3 linked regions of the Arabidopsis thaliana genome follow. The protein of the gene in region 3 interacts with the protein of the main gene of each other region in a pairwise test. Each region holds a gene or a part of one and is shown on either strand. Other genes may lie near its edges. The genes, in order: TET11, AMT1;2 and AT4G23740.

The links.
Region 1: the proteins of AT4G23740 (region 3) and TET11 interact in a protein complementation assay, tested with the Arabidopsis thaliana proteins (one large-scale study listed by BioGRID).
Region 2: the proteins of AT4G23740 (region 3) and AMT1;2 interact in a protein complementation assay, tested with the Arabidopsis thaliana proteins (one large-scale study listed by BioGRID).

What each region holds. Positions count from the first base shown.
Region 1 is NC_003070.9:6,371,976-6,377,440, forward strand, and holds TET11 (tetraspanin11), read left to right. Parts: upstream 1-2,930; 5' UTR 2,931-3,075; coding exon 3,076-3,582; intron 3,583-3,894; coding exon 3,895-4,203; 3' UTR 4,204-4,358; downstream 4,359-5,465. Other genes in the region: MAML-4 (methylthioalkylmalate synthase-like 4), read left to right, coding at 94-177, 268-402, 487-632, 754-886; TET16 (tetraspanin), read left to right, coding at 1,290-1,736, 1,816-2,115; AT1G18530 (EF hand calcium-binding protein family), read left to right, coding at 4,808-5,281. UniProt on the Arabidopsis thaliana protein: May be involved in the regulation of cell differentiation.
Region 2 is NC_003070.9:24,059,289-24,065,677, forward strand, and holds AMT1;2 (ammonium transporter 1;2), read right to left. Parts: upstream 3,517-6,389; 5' UTR 3,278-3,516; coding exon 1,733-3,277; 3' UTR 1,352-1,732; downstream 1-1,351. Other genes in the region: PnsB2 (NDH-dependent cyclic electron flow 1), read left to right, coding at 1-117; ILA (ILITYHIA), read right to left, coding at 5,944-5,983, 6,273-6,351.
Region 3 is NC_003075.7:12,363,375-12,370,757, forward strand, and holds AT4G23740 (Leucine-rich repeat protein kinase family protein), read left to right. Parts: upstream 1-2,707; 5' UTR 2,708-3,258; intron 3,259-3,476; exon of another isoform or gene 3,477-3,641; 5' UTR 3,642-3,688; coding exon 3,689-4,955; intron 4,956-5,053; coding exon 5,054-5,404; intron 5,405-5,486; coding exon 5,487-5,785; 3' UTR 5,786-5,964; downstream 5,965-7,383. Other genes in the region: AT4G23730 (Galactose mutarotase-like superfamily protein), read left to right, coding at 171-245, 320-376, 467-633, 734-868, 961-1,163, 1,231-1,418.

The sequences.
Region 1 (5,465 bases), on a different chromosome or scaffold from region 3:
AGGATGTGTAGAGGATTACTCTTTCTATTTTCTAGTGCTCTTGATTTGTTAATGTAATGTCTTCTGATCGTATATGTTCCCTTGCTGATCCAGAGAGTTACTGATGCGGACATAATAGCTTTAGTATCTGATGAAGTTTTCCAGCCAGAAGCCGTGTGGAAACTCCTGGACATTCAGGTGAAATTGGGATCATAATGTGCTTTCTTACTCTTTTTTCTTGTTCATTGTCTTTATCCAATTCTCATGGTACTTAAAAGTGGAATGCAGATAACTTGTGGAACTCTCGGGCTTTCAACAGCAACTGTAAAACTTGCTGACGCTGATGGCAAAGAACATGTCGCTTGTTCTATTGGAACTGGGCCTGTGGATTCAGCTTACAAGGCAGTAGATCTTATCGTAAAGGTACTGTTTATACCGCTGAGGCTCTCATCTACAAATAACTCACCAGTGGGTCATCGCTTATTGAAAACCTTTTTCCCCCTTTAGGAACCGGCTACTCTGCTTGAGTACTCAATGAATGCAGTAACAGAAGGCATTGATGCCATCGCAACCACAAGAGTTCTTATCCGTGGAAGCAACAAATACTCATCTACAAACGCAATAACTGGTGAAGAGGTTCAAAGAACCTTTAGGTAAAATCCTCTTTTGCCCCATATCTCATTCAAACCGGATCGATTTATCTGCGAAGTTTATTGTTTCTTGTTGATTCTTGCTTGTATTATAACACCAAACCGGTTGTCTTGTGTTTGGCAGTGGAACTGGAGCAGGAATGGATATTGTGGTGTCAAGCGTCAAAGCTTATGTTGGAGCTTTGAACAAAATGATGGACTTCAAAGAAAACTCCGCCACAAAAATCCCTTCCCAAAAAAACAGAGTCGCTGCCTGAATTAAAAATCTTTCCGGCAAATACCAAAAAGTCAGACAGAAGTTAGGTTCTTTTATTTTCAAGTACATAGTTTGGTAATAACTGGAGTTTCGGAGTTTGCTTGTTGTTTATCGAAGTTGCATGTCAAAAGAGTTTGGTGTACTATATATATCTTGATTTAACTTGAATCTCTATTTTTAGAAATAATGGTTTTAGAATAAGGAATAAAAACCAACCGTTAAACAGTTTTAACCTATTTCAAAAAGCTGTCTTTAGACTAAACTAAGGTCTTAAAACTCAAAAACAAAACTGATACCTCTCTGTTCTTGATTCCTTGTCTCTTTGTTACAACCTCTTCATATATCACACAAGTCAAAACATCATATACTCTACGAGTCATTTTAGATTTCCTGATTTGCAAAAAATGTCAGAGATACGAACAGGGTTCTTAACAATGGCGACCATAATCCTTATATGCATAGGCTTAACAATGACGGGAACAGGTTTATATTACAGAAAAACAGTCTCGAAATGTATCCGAGAAACGGATGGCAGTTTCGTCGTCATTGGTTTGCTCTTGCTGGTGATTCCTCAGTTTGCTCTTTACGCAATCTGTTGTCACTCAAAACGTATGTTCACAATCTACATCTATGCAATGATATTCGTAAGCATTGTCCTTGGTGGCTACTCTTTAAAGTGTTTCATCTACAACACAACCTTTGGAATCGCCAAGAACCCGGCTGAGGAAAAGCGAACCGCCAAGCAATTGGTAGGCAGGCTAGTCCCTGAAAGTAAACTTGCAAAAGTCACGGAGTGCATCATTCATAACCATGACTGTAACTTCAATGCCAGCCAAAACAGCAATGTTTGGGTAAGTACTTAATTATGTCACCTCATCCTGATTCATTCGTAATAAAAGATCAATTCTCTAACAATGATGATATATATAGAGGTATTGCTGCGCGCAACCAAGAGGATGTGGAGTGACGACAATGTTCGGGCAACCAGGAGAATGGAGTTGGAAACATCAACACGTAGAGAACCATGTTCCGGAAGAATGTTCTTACGAATACTGTCTCAGTTGCAGAGGTTGCCAGATGAGCATCTTAAAAGCCATTGTTCATCAATGGAAATATCTCTCCATGTTCTCTTATCCTGCCCTCTTTCTCGTTTGTCTCAGCCTCGCCATTTCCAGGTCCATTATGGATACTTTCGATGAACCTGATGATTATAGGGGCTATTATTCTTGATTTCATTTTTCCATATCAAATGTACATGATATATATTTAATTCTAGTTTCTCATTAGTTTTCTTCAATATTAACTAACACCTTTTTCTTTCTTTTTTCTAATCTTAACGATGGAGGAAGAGTCTTTTAAAGTAAATACTCGGATACACCAAATGTTTGGTATCTATAATCTATTCTGACTAAACCAGAGCTATCACCAGAAGTAGTTATTTTGTCACGTGAGATGCGTTTTGGAATTCCACTAATTTCATCAATCTTGTAAGTTAAGATCAAAATAAGAAGAAAATCTCCTAGATGTCACCAGGGTATAAAATGGTTGTGTTATTTACCCATGCAATAATAAATTTTTGGATTTTCTTCCATCAATTCTTAACGAATATTATAAACCCCCCACGAATTTGAGTTTTATCCTTGAAAAACGTTTTTTCACAACATATTATTATTCATATATTTACTTATTTAGTTTGTTTTTTCCTTTTCCAAGTAACAAAAATATGAATTAATATGCATTTTTATTTAAAAATAAAATTAACATAAACCTATATGTAATTTTCCCAACAATCTCGTACTCAATAAATTCTTATTAAATTCAATGTTTAAAAAGTCGAGTGACAGTTTAATTATTAGTCTTAGTTACGTGGCAGTAAGACCTAGTCAAAATCTAATTAAACGACTTCCTCTAAACTAAAGGATCTTCTTAACCCCCACACGATCTCTAAAACCAATGGCTAATAATCTCCACTAATATCATCAACCCACTACCAAAAAAGCAACCGTTTCCCTCTTTCCCCAATAACCACGACTCCACACACTTAAAAACACACACACACACTAAAAACGTTACGAAACATAATTATCAAATTCAAACAACAACAAAAAAACACTCTCTCCCTCTCCGTATCTATTTAAAATCCGATCAGGTTAATCGAGTTTATCATTTGGAGAAAGCAAATTTCCAAAAATGTTTCGAGTTAGCAATTTCATGGTTGGTCTAGCAAACACATTGGTGATGTTAGTGGGCGCTTCGGCCATTGGTTATTCGATTTACATGTTCGTTCACCAAGGCGTCACTGATTGTGAATCTGCCATTCGGATACCACTTCTCACGACCGGACTCATCCTCTTCTTGGTGTCTTTGCTCGGAGTGATTGGATCTTGTTTCAAGGAGAATTTGGCAATGGTTTCCTACTTGATCATATTGTTTGGGGGCATTGTTGCATTGATGATTTTCTCCATATTTCTCTTCTTTGTGACCAACAAAGGAGCCGGTCGTGTGGTGTCCGGTCGAGGGTATAAAGAGTACCGGACGGTGGATTTCTCGACGTGGCTTAATGGGTTCGTTGGTGGGAAGAGATGGGTTGGGATAAGGTCTTGTTTGGCTGAGGCTAACGTTTGTGATGATTTGAGTGATGGTCGTGTTAGTCAGATCGCTGATGCGTTTTATCACAAGAACTTGTCTCCCATCCAGGTATTGTTTTGGATCGATTTTCTGTATGAACATATTTCTTTGTTGATATTTTTGTATAAATATAGTAAAGGGAAGACCAATCAAAGCTTTTGCTTTCTTTAGTATATATATATGTAAAGACAAATCAATAAAAAATAGTCTAGGTTCATTTCATCGTTCTTAGTATGATTAAATTTCATTGTTAAGTTTTTGCATATAGTAACAAAAGCAAGACAATTTTTAGCCGAACTAAGATAACACTTATATGTTAAGCCGTTAAATTTATTGTTCATAATGGGTTGTGTAACTCAAGTATTGATTGTGTATGAGCAGTCAGGTTGTTGTAAGCCACCATCGGATTGCAACTTCGAGTTCAGAAACGCGACGTTCTGGATACCGCCGAGCAAAAACGAAACGGCAGTTGCGGAAAACGGGGACTGTGGTACGTGGAGCAACGTGCAAACAGAGTTATGTTTCAACTGCAACGCATGCAAAGCGGGTGTGTTAGCGAACATAAGAGAGAAGTGGAGGAATCTTCTTGTTTTCAACATTTGTCTCCTCATTCTCCTCATAACCGTCTATTCCTGCGGTTGCTGTGCTCGTCGTAACAATCGGACGGCTAGGAAAAGTGATTCTGTCTGATCAACAACTCAATTTCAGTTTCTTGTGTTTTTCTGTTTTCTTAGTTTGTTTGGTTTTTTAAGTTAATTATCTTTTGTTTTCTTTGGACAATGTCATGTTCTGTTTCTCAACAATTATCATGAATTTATCACATTTCACTAGTCGTAACCATTGGCATTTAATTTTATTTTAAATCTTATGCTTCACATATTTAGTCACAATTCTAATTATCTTTATGTTTCTTAGGACAATGTCATGTTTTTGTTTCACCACAATCAATATGATTTTCTTTACCAAAAAGGCAAAAAGAATCATTATGAATTTTCACATTTCAATAGCAGTACCAATCTAACTCAAACAAAAAAAAAATATGTGGTCTTATCTATTTTTATCAGCAACCATTAACAAACCAACGAAAAAGAAAAGAACAAACAAAACATTAAAACATAGAAAAGATCCAGAATTCTAAATTCTACGTGCTCAAAAAGAAACAAAACTTCAATCTTAAATCTCCTTTCTGGCACACCCTTCATTGACAATCATAACCTCTTGTCTCATCAATCTCTCTCGTCGCCAACATTGATTAATCGATTTTTATTTGTGTTGCTAAAGAAAGAAAGAAAAAATGGAGGATCAGATAAGACAACTTAAAGACATTTTCGACCGGTTCGACATGGACGCAGACGGAAGCTTAACAATCTTAGAACTCGCGGCACTTCTCCGGTCACTCGGTCTCAAACCTTCCGGCGATCAAATCCATGTTTTGTTAGCTAGCATGGACTCAAACGGCAACGGTTTTGTCGAATTCGATGAGCTCGTTGGTACAATTCTTCCTGATCTTAACGAAGAGGTCCTAATCAATTCCGAGCAATTACTCGAGATTTTCAAATCGTTCGATAGAGACGGTAACGGGTTCATAAGTGCGGCTGAGCTTGCAGGAGCAATGGCCAAGATGGGTCAACCATTAACGTATAAAGAATTAACGGAGATGATCAAAGAAGCTGATACAAATGGTGATGGTGTTATAAGCTTTGGAGAGTTTGCTTCAATTATGGCAAAATCTGCTGTTGATTACTTTGGATTAAAAATTAATTCGTGATCATTTCTTATGCTTTTTCATTTATTCATTTTTATAGAAAATCGAATTCATAACACCAGGTCTTAAAGCTAGATTGCTCGAAAATTTGATATATAAAATCAGAGAAAATAGTCTTTAAGATCCAAGGACGATTAAAGATGAAAATACTCAGGGAAACAGATATTCTTAAAATTTGAGAAACAAT
Region 2 (6,389 bases), on a different chromosome or scaffold from region 3:
GTGGGACAAGTATGGGAAGCAACATTACTTCGTGTGCACAGGTCCAACGTCAATGCTCGTTCCTGTCGATGTAGCCTCCGGAGAGACATGGAGAGGAGCAATGGTAATCGAGCATGATAATTTGTAAATTTCATTTACTATAGTTCTGTCTTCTTCATTTTTTCCCTCTCTATTTTTGTTGCCATTTTTTCTTCTATATATTCAAAACATGTTAATGACTATACTAAATCAATATACAATAATGAACTTAGTAAATCAAAGTTGATGTAAAACAAAATTGTCTCAGAAAATATATGAGTTGCGGATTTTTATTTTATTGATTTGTAACGCAACTTTTAATTAAGTAAGTACAAAAAGATTTGTGATATTGCACATACTAAATAAACTTATAAGACATTGATATGTCACAGTATTTACCTTTCTCACTCTAATTTTAATGTTTTCTGTGTTTTATCGAAATTTTTATTTTTAAGTAGTATAACGGTTCTAGAAAATGAGTTTTTTGAGGAAAACTGAAAAACATATTACAGCAAAATAATATTGTTGATTGAAAGTCCCTTCTAGAATAGATCGACAACCCCTTTAAAGGCAATATGAGGCAACACTGCCGTTGAAAAAATTGATCGACAACCTTATATGCAATATTCGACACCTTTGTATAATATTCAGTGTAATTTGGTATGAACAGTTCGTATCCAACCGCATATTATTATTTATATAAATAATATTCTCCAATTTTGATTTATACAAGCTAATCTAACAAAGTTGTCGGGAAAATAAATTAGTTAGAATCGTAATTAGCAACAAAATACACAAATAATGTCAAATAAAATTCTAAATAAAACAAACATCTAGGTGGGAGCTACTCAGATTTGTATGTAGTATATAAGATCAACTTTTAGTGGTGAATAAATGGGTGATGATAAAAAGAGAGGACGAGAAGACAAATGATAAAATTGAACGGTAATTTATGGCAAATGGGAAAAAGGATAAAGTACATACGAGGCTCCGGACCATCCGTTTTCTAAAGTAGTAATATACTAATATAAATATATTTATATTTTCATATTTAAAATATTAGTTATTCAGAAAATTTGACGACCAATCAACAGAAAAGAATCATTGAACCAATGGATACCATGGAACTAGCTAGAAGCCTAGAACCATAGGTTATGATATCAAATCCCGAATCATGGTTACGTATTATGTGGTTTGAACAACAACAAAAAAAAAGGTTACATAGTTTTGTGGTGATAACATAACCGATAAGTACCCAAGACAACTTTCTTATGATCAGTATGTGATAATTTGATAAGCTCGTCCACAAAAAAAAAACTCGTTTATAATAAAACTCGACAATTCTGATTAATTTCCGTTGGTGATTATTGATTAACATTCTAACGTTCATTTTATCAAAACAAAACATGCTATCGTACAAGATTTTTTTTTCCTCTCTTTTCTTAACATTTAAAATGTCTCAAGACCGCTCAAATTCCAATGTTTAATTTTGATACCAAACGTTCACTTTAATTAAAAAGACATACTGATCATGTTATTGTTAACAGTTCCACACTATCTGTCCACAACAGAGCGATAACCAAGAGAAAAAAAAAGAAGAAGAAGAAGACCAATAATACACAAAGATGCGTCCAACATGTTTGGTGCCCGAACTCTTGTCTTCACCACATTAAAACTGACTCGTTTGGGACCACTCAATTCTCCAATCAAAGTATCAAACAGTCAAGGTCGGTGTAGGAGTCGAGCTCCGGCTTGTAGGCTCCACTCTTCCAGCGAAATGACCCCATGGTTTAGTCGACACGTCGTCTTCGTCATTGTATGCGTAAGCAAATCCTCCATGACGTGTCATGTCCATTCCTGCCATCTCATCTTCTGCTGATATCCTCAAAAGATTCATCTTATGTAACCCATAAAACAACGGTCCCATAGTTACCGTCACCCACCCAACGATCACAATAATCTGAACGATCTGCGCGGCGAGCAGTTTTCCTCCCCCGCCCATGAACAGTCCGTAAGGCCTATCACCGGAGTAAATCTCGTTAACGTATTCTTTCCTTGCGAACAGCCCGGTAAAGATTAATCCCCATGCTCCACATCCACCGTGGAGCTGAGCAGCCTCGAGTGGGTCATCATATTTAAGTTTCTTGGCAAGCAAGTTAAATCCGATTAAAACCCATGATGCCACAAAGCCACATACTATAGCAGCCCACGGCTCCACCACGGCACATCCGGAGGTTATAGCTGCAAAGCCGCCTAGAAGTCCGTTGCATACGTCAATAACGTTCCAATGACCTGCTAAAAGCCGTTTACTGAATAGAGTAGTCAACGCAGCGGTGCAGCCAGAAAGCGTTGTGGTGACCGCGGTGCGACCTACAGCGCTCCATTGACCATAATATGGCCGAGACTTGTCGTAGCCTTTAAGAATGGTTAAAAAGGAACCAGGGTTAAACCCATACCATCCAAACCACAACAAGAAGGTACCAAGCACGACAAGGGATGCACTGTGACCACGTAAAGCCACGGACCGGCCTGACCGGTCAAATCTACCTATTCTTGGTCCTTCAACTAACGCTCCACATAAACCGGCAATTCCACCTACCATGTGAACAACTCCTGAACCTGCGAAATCAATAGCACCTGAGCCAAACAAGAGATTGTTGTCAGACCGGGACGCGCTAGCCCATCCATCACTTGACCAGAACCAGTGCGAGACTGTCGGGTAAACAAAACCGGTCAAGAAAGTAGAGTAGATAAGGTAAGCAACGAATTGCGTTCGCTCGGCGATGGAACCGCTAGTGATTCCGGCCGCGGCTATGGCAAAAGCCCATTGGTAGAGGAAAAAGCTGAAGTCGGAGCCGGGGCGTTCAGGGTAAGAGCTTAAAGCGAAGAAGCTATGGTGGCGACCGATGAATCCGTTGGAAGGTGTACCAAAGGCGAATGCGAATCCGAAGAGGTAGTAAGAGATGGCTCCAGCGGCAGCATCAAGGACATTGGTAAGCATGATGTTCATAGTGTTCTTGGCTCGGACTGATCCAGCACAAAGCATAGCGAAACCGAGCTGCATGGCAAAGACAAGGTAGGCGGAGAAGAGGAGATACGTGTTGTCGACGGCATAAGTTGTGTCGGAGAGTTTGTTGGAGATGTTTGAAATTTGGGAACATAAAAAGGTTGCCGCGGCGAGGGAAGATGTTGAGTTAGAAGAAGAGGATAGGAGGGCAGATAGATCTACGGCAGAGCATGTGGTGGTTGCGGTGTCCATGGTGGAGAGGGAGGGAGGGAGAGATAGAGAGAGGGTACTTGATTGTGGAACGTGTTTGCTTAAGTGAGTACTTGTGGTGAGAGTGTCTTTGGTGTATTTAAAGTGGAAAAAAGCATATTTATTTCGTTACATCACAAAAAGTTGCGGTACTACTTACTCTTCTTCTAGTTGAGGTTTTAAAAGAAGTTTTCTGAATTTTAAAATTCTAGGTCTCTGGTTTAAGTTTTTTTAAACAGTAGTAATCAAACTAAAATAAAATTAATAAATTTGTTTTGGTATAGTTTTGTTTTAGTTTCTATTCAGTTTTGAACATATTTAAAGTTAATTTTTTAAAGAAGATTTTTTTATTTTAATAAGATATTTAATCAGTTTTTGTGTGCAATTAATTTTGGTTATACGAATAAAAAAAGAAAAAAGAAAATTCTTATAATATTTCGTTTAGTGTTTGAATCGTTTATTTTAGTATGACAAGGAATCGGGTCAGCATTTGTTTATGAGAAACAATTAATTAAACATCGCTACATAGAAGTACGACATTAAAGAACAAGTTCAAGCATATGACGATATGATTCTTTTAAATGAATTTGTATGTCTATTTTTCCAACTCAATATTTTATATGAACTAGTTAATGTTCTTACAAAGGAGAAATAATTTATTTTTTTTGACGGCACGATTCAAAGGAGAAATAATTTGATTTCTTTTTTGGAATTAAAATAATTTGAAAAATGTAATTTTTCGTTTCGTTTGTATCGATGAAGTCAATAGTTGATAGATCATGAATGATGTATCATTTATATGAATGTGATATAGGGGGCAAGGACGATCACTCAAATAGTTATAAAATTATCACGCTAGATTAAATATAAAAATTATTTTCAACTTGACTACAACTACTTCACAACTGAATACGTAATTCGACTTGAATAATAGGCATTATTTGATGCTGTGTGATTTTTAGCGCCATTTATTTTTGTATTTTTAGTTAATCAAACAAATATGTTGTAATTTGAGGTACCGATTTCACATAGAATTTATATTGCACTACGTATTAGAGAATAAACTGTTAAAGCTACAAACTATATATAGGGTTCAATTTTGTGATTACAGGAAAAATATATATGCAACAAAGGAAAGATGAACAGATTCAATAGTAAAATCGTATTAGGTTTTCACGGAATCACAGTGATAGTAGGAAATCACGCAACAAAGAAAAAAACAAAATGAATGGACATATGAACAGTGAAAATGTTTTTATATTACGTTAAATGTTTTTAAAATGCGATTTATGAAAAAATGGGTAAAAATAAATGCGATTTATGAAAAAATGGGTAAAATTAGAGTGTTATCAGCAAGATCCGATCCAAAACCAATTGTTACTATGCAGGATAATGCGAGATGGGCATTCGAGTCAGGTTCTGATAAAATCCGATCGGGTACAGGTTTTTTTGGATAGAGAAGTTTAGGATCCAATAGAGTAATTCTAAAATATCGGTTTGATTTTGGTTCGGGTCCAATCGGGTTCGAATATAGATTTTCAGGCCTTTTTTGGAATCGATACCCAAATTTTCGAATAAATACCCGGATTTTCGGATTCGGGTCGAATTCGAATTCGGTTTTTTGGTAGAGAAATTTAAGACAAATAAGATAAATCTTCGAATTCGGATCTAATTTTTCGGGTCGGTTCCAGTTTGAGTAATCGGTTCCGGTTTTTTGCCGCCACTAAATTTGCTAGAGTCAAAATATGGTAAAAACTGCCGCAAAAGTGAACCGCTAACCACGTGATTAAATACACTTTTCTGGTAAACAATATAACTTTGACGGTCATTCAAATGCTGAAGGACGTGTTGCTCACTAGCATAGTTTATGTCATTCTACACAAGAAGATCTAGTCCTCGTAGCTTCCAAAAATTTTCTTTTCTACTCCTGGAAGATAATCGTTTCTTTTCATCCTTCAAACTTACCAAACGTTTATACGATTAACATAGGGTTTTGTCTCCAGCGATTATTTGATTTATGTGTGCTTTTGACTCTTGAAAACTTCTTCACGTTCTCTGGCATTACGTATGAAGACATAATAAAAAAAAACTCTATTGCATTTCTCCATTACTTTTTTTCATCTCAACTTAGATAGTTTTTCAATTAAATTTATCTGATTATATTGGTTTATCAACCTTTTTAATCCTACGATTGGTGGGGATTATAATATAGTAATAAACAGAAAAGATAAATCCTTAACGAAGATAAACCCACAGAAGGCAATGACAGACGAAGCCACAATGTCGCACTAAACGAATTTTAGTAACAAATCATATTCATAATACAATAACGTAATTAGAAGATTTAGTAGTATAATCTAGTCTGTTATAGACTGAAAGCAAAAACTAAAGACGCATAAAATTTAACCCATTTGAGACATTACCATTTAACAAAATCGAAGTACCCGTATCAAATAAAAAAAATGAGATGAGTGCTTCTCAACAAAGAACACAGAAGGATCTGATAATCCAAAGTCAGGTATATCTATATATTGTATATTGACCTCTGTGTATCTATATTCTCATGCGAAAGAAAAATGATACAATTTCATCCGCGACTCAAGGGATTATGCTTAATGAGCCTCTCCTACAAAATGGATTCAACAGAGATGGCGAAAACATGTTTCCTCCTACCCACTTACATTATCATCATCGCTTTCACTGTCATCGCTGCAAATGTAACAAATTGTACTTAACTTTCAGACCAAGGGAACTAAATTTACCCATAACAAGAAAGATTTGATCAGTATAGGGCTTCACGCATTAGCTAAGGTTATAGATTTTATTATTCGTAAGTATATCCACAGAAGGATGAAGAGAAGCCAAAACTAAAGCCATCGGACTTGAGCATATTTTTTACCATTGTTATTTTCTCGAGGGTCTGAAAAACCGCTTTTCATGTATAGATTGAAAGGTATAGCAAGCAAAATGATTTTCGTATGTGAAGAAGATTAAGTACCTTTGTTCAGGAAACTTGGATAACCGTCGGGCATCCAATCCTGTAATGTATTTTTGAGCTGCTTGAACATTTTCTGCGCCTGAGACCAATCAAAGAAATTAGTAATATGTGACCCTG
Region 3 (7,383 bases):
GGCCTAGTTCGTAGTTGTGGCTTTAAACTCTCTTAACAAGACAAATCTGATAGCTTTAGATATAGTTTTGATGTTGTTGGCCATGGAAACTTTGGCTTTTATGATTCATGGACCACATTCATAAGCATTTCCATTTCGCTTATTGAACTGACGGTTTGTTTATGATTCAGATTAGTTTACATGGAGGACAAGTTCTTTCATGGAAGACTGACAAGGGTGATGAATTGTTATTCAACAGCACCAAGGTAAAGAACTCGCCTTTTTCAACATTCTACGCAACTTTGTATCATATTTACTGAACTACATGCTCTTGTTTCAGGCCAACTTGAAGCCTCCCCATCCGGTACGAGGAGGAATCCCTATATGCTTTCCTCAGGTATATAGACTTTTGAAAAGTAACATGTAATATTGGACATGAATAATCTTGGTTTTGATCACATTTCTTTATATTTTTTTTATTCATAAGTTTGGAACTCGGGGATCACTTGAGCAACACGGGTTTGCAAGAAACAAGATGTGGCTTGTAGAAAACAATCCACCTGCTTTACCTTCATTTGACTCAACTGGAAAAGCCTATGTTGATTTGGTGCTTAAGTCATCTGATGAAGATACGATGAGGATCTGGCCTTACAGGTAGGTTGCAAACCCGATCAAATGATTTTATTTTGATTCCTCGATATGATCTGATTCTTTTCATTTCAGCATGATTAAATTGCTATTGCTCTTGTTTCAGCTTTGAGTTTCATCTGAGAGTCTCATTGGCATTAGATGGGAACCTAACACTGATATCACGAGTCAGAAACATCAATTCAAAGCCTTTTAGCTTTTCCATTGCTTACCACACTTACTTCTCCATTTCCGATATTAGGTGAAACACCGAATTTAGCCTCTACTAGTCTCTGCTGTCACATAATATAACGTAGAACTCAATACATTCTCTTTTCTTTTGGTATTTATCAGTGAAGTTAGACTTGAAGGGCTGGAAACTCTTGACTATCTTGATAATATGCATGATAGAGAGCGGTTCACAGAGCAAGGCGATGCATTAACCTTTGAATCAGAGATCGATAGAGTGTACCTAAATTCTAAAGACGTGGTTGCCATTTTCGACCATGAGAGAAAACGCACATTCCTCATCAAGAAAGAAGGTCTACCTGATGTCGGTAAGATCCAAATACCGAAAACCTTAACCGCCCTTTTTACCAAGAATCCAGTTTTTAACAGTATTAGATTCTCGGTTTGTTGCAGTGGTATGGAATCCATGGGAGAAGAAAGCGAGAGCATTGACGGATTTGGGAGATGATGAGTATAGACACATGTTGTGTGTGGATGGAGCAGCCATTGAGAAACCCATCACCTTGAAACCGGGTGAAGAATGGACCGGGAAATTACATCTCTCGCTTGTTCTTTCCACCTAAAACCCGGTACCGGTTATCACAAACTCTGTGTCTTTCATTATCTTGTCTTGTGGGCTATTTTTTTTGTTTTAGTCTATAGAACATCACAGTGTGTGTGATTCGTCGGTATCAAAAATCCGAAATATTAAAAGGAAACCTGAGATTTGAAAAGGTCACCCATTTTTAGGAAGTGACTAGATCTCCTGGTTTTGTGCGAGATTTAACTTGTGTATGAAGACAATGTTATATACTATATTGAAGTTTGTACTTATTTGATGAAATCTTCAATAATACTAGATTTTAACCCGCGGTATATCGCGGGGACAATTTATTTTTTTAAGTTAGTATATATAAAAGTTTACAAATTATATCTATCTATAAAATATTTTTATTTTATAGTTTACAATTGTTATTAAGTAACGTCCTATCAAATCCGTCCCGCCAACCTGTCCCGTAAAAAAAACTCATTGATCTCATTTATGATATGTTTATGAATCATTGTTTAAATATTTTGTAATTTTGTAGTAATTAAATGCTATCAAATATTTGTGCGGTTTGATGATTATAATCGAATTGTTATAGTCATGTAGAAAAACAATATCAAAAATAATAATTTTGTAGTAATTCAATGATATTAAATATATTGGAAGTTTTATTTTAGTAACTAATCGTGTAGTTAATGTAGAGAGATTTCGGGAAGATTTTCAAATATTTAATTCAAAAATTTTATTTTTAATTATCAAAACAAACATTAAAATCCAGTGGCAGCTATTGTAAATAAATCTCAACTACAAAATTTATTTCACAAAATGGCTGCAAAAATGTATATGTAGATTTAAAGCTTTCTTGTTCTCATGGTTGACAATTCTTGAATAAACCATTTCTGAGACCATAAGCTAATTTTTTTGGGTACATATTTCAAGTATAGGAACAAAACTATAGTATAAAATAATCTTTATAGATTCAAATGCTTTAATGGCCTTATACTCATTGCCTCTCAATGTGGTAAGATGGTGTAAAATCATCATAATAATCATGAAAGATTTGAAAATTATTGGTCTATTATGATGCACTATAAATTCTATAATTGCGTCGGTCAAATATTTAATACACCGAAGAAATAGTAATATTATAAAAAGAGAATATTTATTGATGCCAAAAAGAAACCAAGAATTTTATTAAAATGGTAGAAGTCGATATGCTTTAAATGCCTTGAGCTTCATTATGACAAGTACTACAAAACAAAAAAAAACGTATTTGCCTAATACATTTGGTAAGTTAAATAATTTCCTTCTTAACATAATTAATTACTATATCGTTCTTTTTGTTAGCGTTGACCAATTAAACAACCGGTTATGTATATCTCGGTTCAGAAAACTTAACCGGTTTAACAAATAGCTAATGTTCCGATTAATTTACATTACTTCAGAACGAATCGAACTTTGTAAAACGAAGATCGATTACAAATTGAAAGATACAGCCTTAATTTGGCATTAAAAAGTTCAATGGTCCCCGGTTCGGTATTAAATAACCGGGTACGTACAGACTCACCGGTCACCAACCTGTAAACCGTATAAAGAAACAATAGAGTCGCATCAGTATCTTCCCTCGTCACTTTCACCCACTTTAATATGCCAAAAAATAAGAACAAAATTATATCCGTTGCTTGAAAATCACAAGCTCTTCTTAACTTCACAAGTGCTTCAATGGCGGTTCTTCACATTATCTTCACTGCGTAATTGAAGAAGTTGTTCTCTCTTCCTCTTAATTTCGAGTTGTGTTCTTAAAAAACTCCAGAGCTGATTCGATTCTCGAGAAGAAACTAAGCCGACAATAAAGTTCAGATCTGGAAAAAAGCGAGGTTACCAATTCTTTATTTTTAATAAATTTAATCTCGTAGTAGAGTTAGGGTTCTACTTTTCGACAATTTTAATTACCAGAAATTCTAGGGTTTATGTGAGTTTAAATTAAAGCTTCGTCATTTTCGAAGCTTAAAGTTACTCACTTTTTATGTCTCCCACTCCTGTTGTATTTTAAAATCTCCAGTGGTCACATAGAACAACTTCAAGATTCCACTTTTGCTTTTATAATCAGCAGTCTTCTAGAAATCTGTAATCTTTTCGCTTTTTTGGTACCTTTTATTTTAAATTAAAGTTCACAAATTTTCACCATTTATATGTCCATCATCATCATCACCACAATCAAATTGAGCTAAATTGGTTTTTGATTGTTGTTTTTCTCCAGCTCCAGATTACAAAAAGAAACAGCTCGTTTTTTTCACTTTCAAAAAAATGGAAGCTTTGAGGATTTATCTATGGAGTCTCTGTCTCTCTCTGTGTTTGATTATCTATGGAGCAAACTCAGATCCATTAGAAGACAAACGCGCATTGCTTGAGTTTCTTACCATTATGCAACCAACTCGTTCACTCAACTGGAACGAGACTTCTCAAGTCTGCAACATCTGGACCGGAGTTACTTGTAATCAAGACGGATCTCGAATCATAGCCGTTAGATTACCAGGCGTTGGACTCAATGGTCAGATTCCTCCAAACACTATAAGCAGACTCTCAGCTCTCAGAGTTCTTAGTCTCAGATCCAATCTAATCTCCGGCGAGTTTCCTAAGGATTTTGTTGAGTTGAAAGATTTGGCCTTTCTTTATCTTCAGGATAACAACTTGTCTGGTCCTTTGCCATTGGATTTCTCTGTTTGGAAGAATCTCACTAGTGTTAATCTCTCAAACAACGGGTTCAACGGGACAATCCCGAGTTCGTTGTCTCGTCTTAAGCGGATTCAGTCGTTAAATCTTGCTAACAATACGCTTTCTGGTGATATTCCTGATCTGAGTGTGCTCTCTAGTCTGCAGCACATTGACTTGTCCAACAATTATGATCTTGCTGGACCGATACCAGATTGGCTTCGAAGGTTCCCGTTCTCGTCTTATACAGGCATTGATATTATTCCTCCTGGTGGTAACTACACCCTCGTTACGCCGCCACCACCTAGCGAGCAGACTCATCAGAAACCGTCGAAAGCTCGCTTCTTGGGACTATCCGAGACGGTGTTCTTGTTGATTGTTATTGCTGTTTCCATTGTGGTGATTACGGCTTTGGCGTTTGTGTTGACTGTTTGTTACGTAAGAAGGAAGTTAAGACGCGGTGATGGGGTCATTTCGGATAATAAGTTGCAGAAGAAAGGTGGGATGTCTCCTGAGAAATTTGTTTCTCGGATGGAAGATGTGAACAACCGGTTATCGTTCTTTGAAGGATGTAACTACTCTTTTGATCTTGAGGATCTATTGAGAGCTTCTGCTGAGGTTCTTGGTAAAGGCACGTTTGGCACGACGTACAAAGCAGTTCTTGAAGATGCAACTTCTGTTGCTGTGAAACGTCTTAAGGATGTTGCGGCTGGGAAACGTGATTTCGAGCAGCAGATGGAGATCATTGGAGGTATTAAGCATGAAAACGTTGTGGAGCTTAAGGCATACTATTACTCTAAAGACGAGAAGCTAATGGTTTATGACTATTTCAGCCGAGGAAGTGTGGCTTCTTTGCTTCATGGTACGTTTCACTTTTTGATCTAATGCATCATAACTACTATCAGAATCAAACCCATTTGCTTTAGGCTCATTGTAGAGTTGAAATGTTTTGGTTTTCAGGTAACAGAGGAGAAAACAGGATTCCTCTAGACTGGGAAACAAGAATGAAAATAGCTATTGGCGCAGCTAAAGGGATTGCTCGTATCCACAAAGAAAACAATGGAAAACTCGTCCATGGGAACATCAAATCTTCGAATATATTCTTGAATTCCGAGAGTAATGGCTGTGTCTCTGATCTTGGATTAACTGCTGTAATGAGTCCCTTGGCTCCACCGATATCGAGGCAAGCTGGTTACCGTGCACCAGAAGTAACCGACACAAGGAAGTCTTCTCAATTGTCAGATGTTTACAGCTTCGGTGTTGTTCTACTCGAACTACTCACGGGAAAATCGCCCATTCACACTACCGCAGGTAACGCTACAACCCGAAGTGACTAGACTGTTTCAGCTGATATATTTTCGGTTTAATGATCATTCTGTGATGGACATTGCAGGGGACGAGATCATCCACTTGGTTAGATGGGTACATTCAGTAGTGAGAGAGGAATGGACCGCAGAAGTATTCGACATCGAGCTTCTGAGGTATACAAACATAGAGGAAGAGATGGTTGAGATGTTGCAGATTGCAATGTCCTGTGTTGTGAAAGCAGCAGATCAGAGGCCAAAGATGTCTGATTTGGTTAGGCTCATCGAGAACGTTGGAAACCGACGAACCAGCATTGAACCGGAACCCGAACTCAAACCCAAATCCGAAAATGGAGCCTCAGAGACTTCAACACCGAGTGAAATTTGAATCTATCAAAATTCTAACTGTTGATTCATCATCCCATATTTTACATATGAAGTTTGTATACTCCTGTGTTTATTTCTTCTCTCTTCGGTTTAGAACCGGTTCAACAAACACATTTCTGTTTAGGAATTCTTGGTTTTCAAAATTCGCTATGAAATAGATTCAAATTTCTGATTCACAAGTTTGTTTCATCAAAGCCTCTAAACCAGGGAAACCAACTGCTTCAGAGCCCAAAAAGCCCATTGGGCCGATATAATTATACAGAGTCGACAAAGTTTTATTTCTAGTACTTGTTTGACCCATAATCTTCTTCGGCTAGAGCCCGGCCTGTGATCGAACCGACAAAATGGAACTAGTGGTCTCAAGTAATGCGATATTTGGAGGGTTCTAACTTCTAAGAAGCACCACAAGCCAGCCTAAGACCCACATGGTATCCTCAGGATCATATTTGAATGGAGTTTGGACTAATAATTTATGTTTTTCATATTATCTATTTTACTGAAATACTAACATTTTCTGAGTCAAAAGAAAAGAGTTCATACAAAATGTTTTGTCGTGAATTGTGTTTTGGAGCCTTGGAGGAGGAACAGGTAGGTGGCAGGGATTACAATAGGAAGGAGACAAATAAGGCAAGTTACAACGTGAACTTGATTTGTCTAATTCCAGAAAATGACGTGTCCTTGCTGCTCATATACTGCAATAAGGCTTCTCTTCTTCTTTCCAAGTTGCGAAATTAGAAACCTAAATATATATATACAAGAAAATCTGAATCTCAAAAATGTGTCAATTTTATGTAAATCCTTAGGTCCCCACGAAATCGGTGGATCAACATGTTATTTGTTTTACTTCTCCGCTGTTAAACCGACGGCTTAGTTAAAACCATTTAGTATAATCTCATCAACCAATCTATCTTCTTGTTGAAAATTTAATAATTGACTACGATATACAACTTTTACCAATGATACCTTTTTGGCATACGTGAAAACTACTACAGTAGAAGTTTATATTGTAAATAACATTATTTTCCTCGTGATTAAATCAAACATGAGATAAAAAATAAAATAAAAATTGTTCATTTTACATAGGTTTATAAACCATTGTTTTTTCTTTTTCAAAATGTTATCCTTTATATTGTTAGAGAATTAAAGTTGAATCATAACTTTCTAACGAGTAGAGCAGTTCGAATAGTATAGTAGTACACTCTTGCAGTACTTGTTAAAATTCATACTGTCTCTACTGATGAAGAAAACAATTATCTCTTGAATTTATTTTTGTTATGAAAAAACCAAATTATCTTGAATTACTTCAAAAATAACATGAGAATAGTATAGTAGCACACTCTTGCAGCAGTACTTGTTAAAATTCGTATTGGCTAATGATGAAGAAAACAATAATCTTTTTTATTTTTGACAAGAAAAATAAACAAACAAAAAATCTTCATTTAATAAAAAAATAACATGAGAATAGACATAACAGTCAACGTCCACTTGCTTTATATGTTCCTCTTTGCCTTTTCTCAAGTCAGGGTCAAACCTGTTTAGGTGGTCTGTCGACAAGTTACACAAAACAAAAGATAATTACATGTAATTTTCCGCAAATAA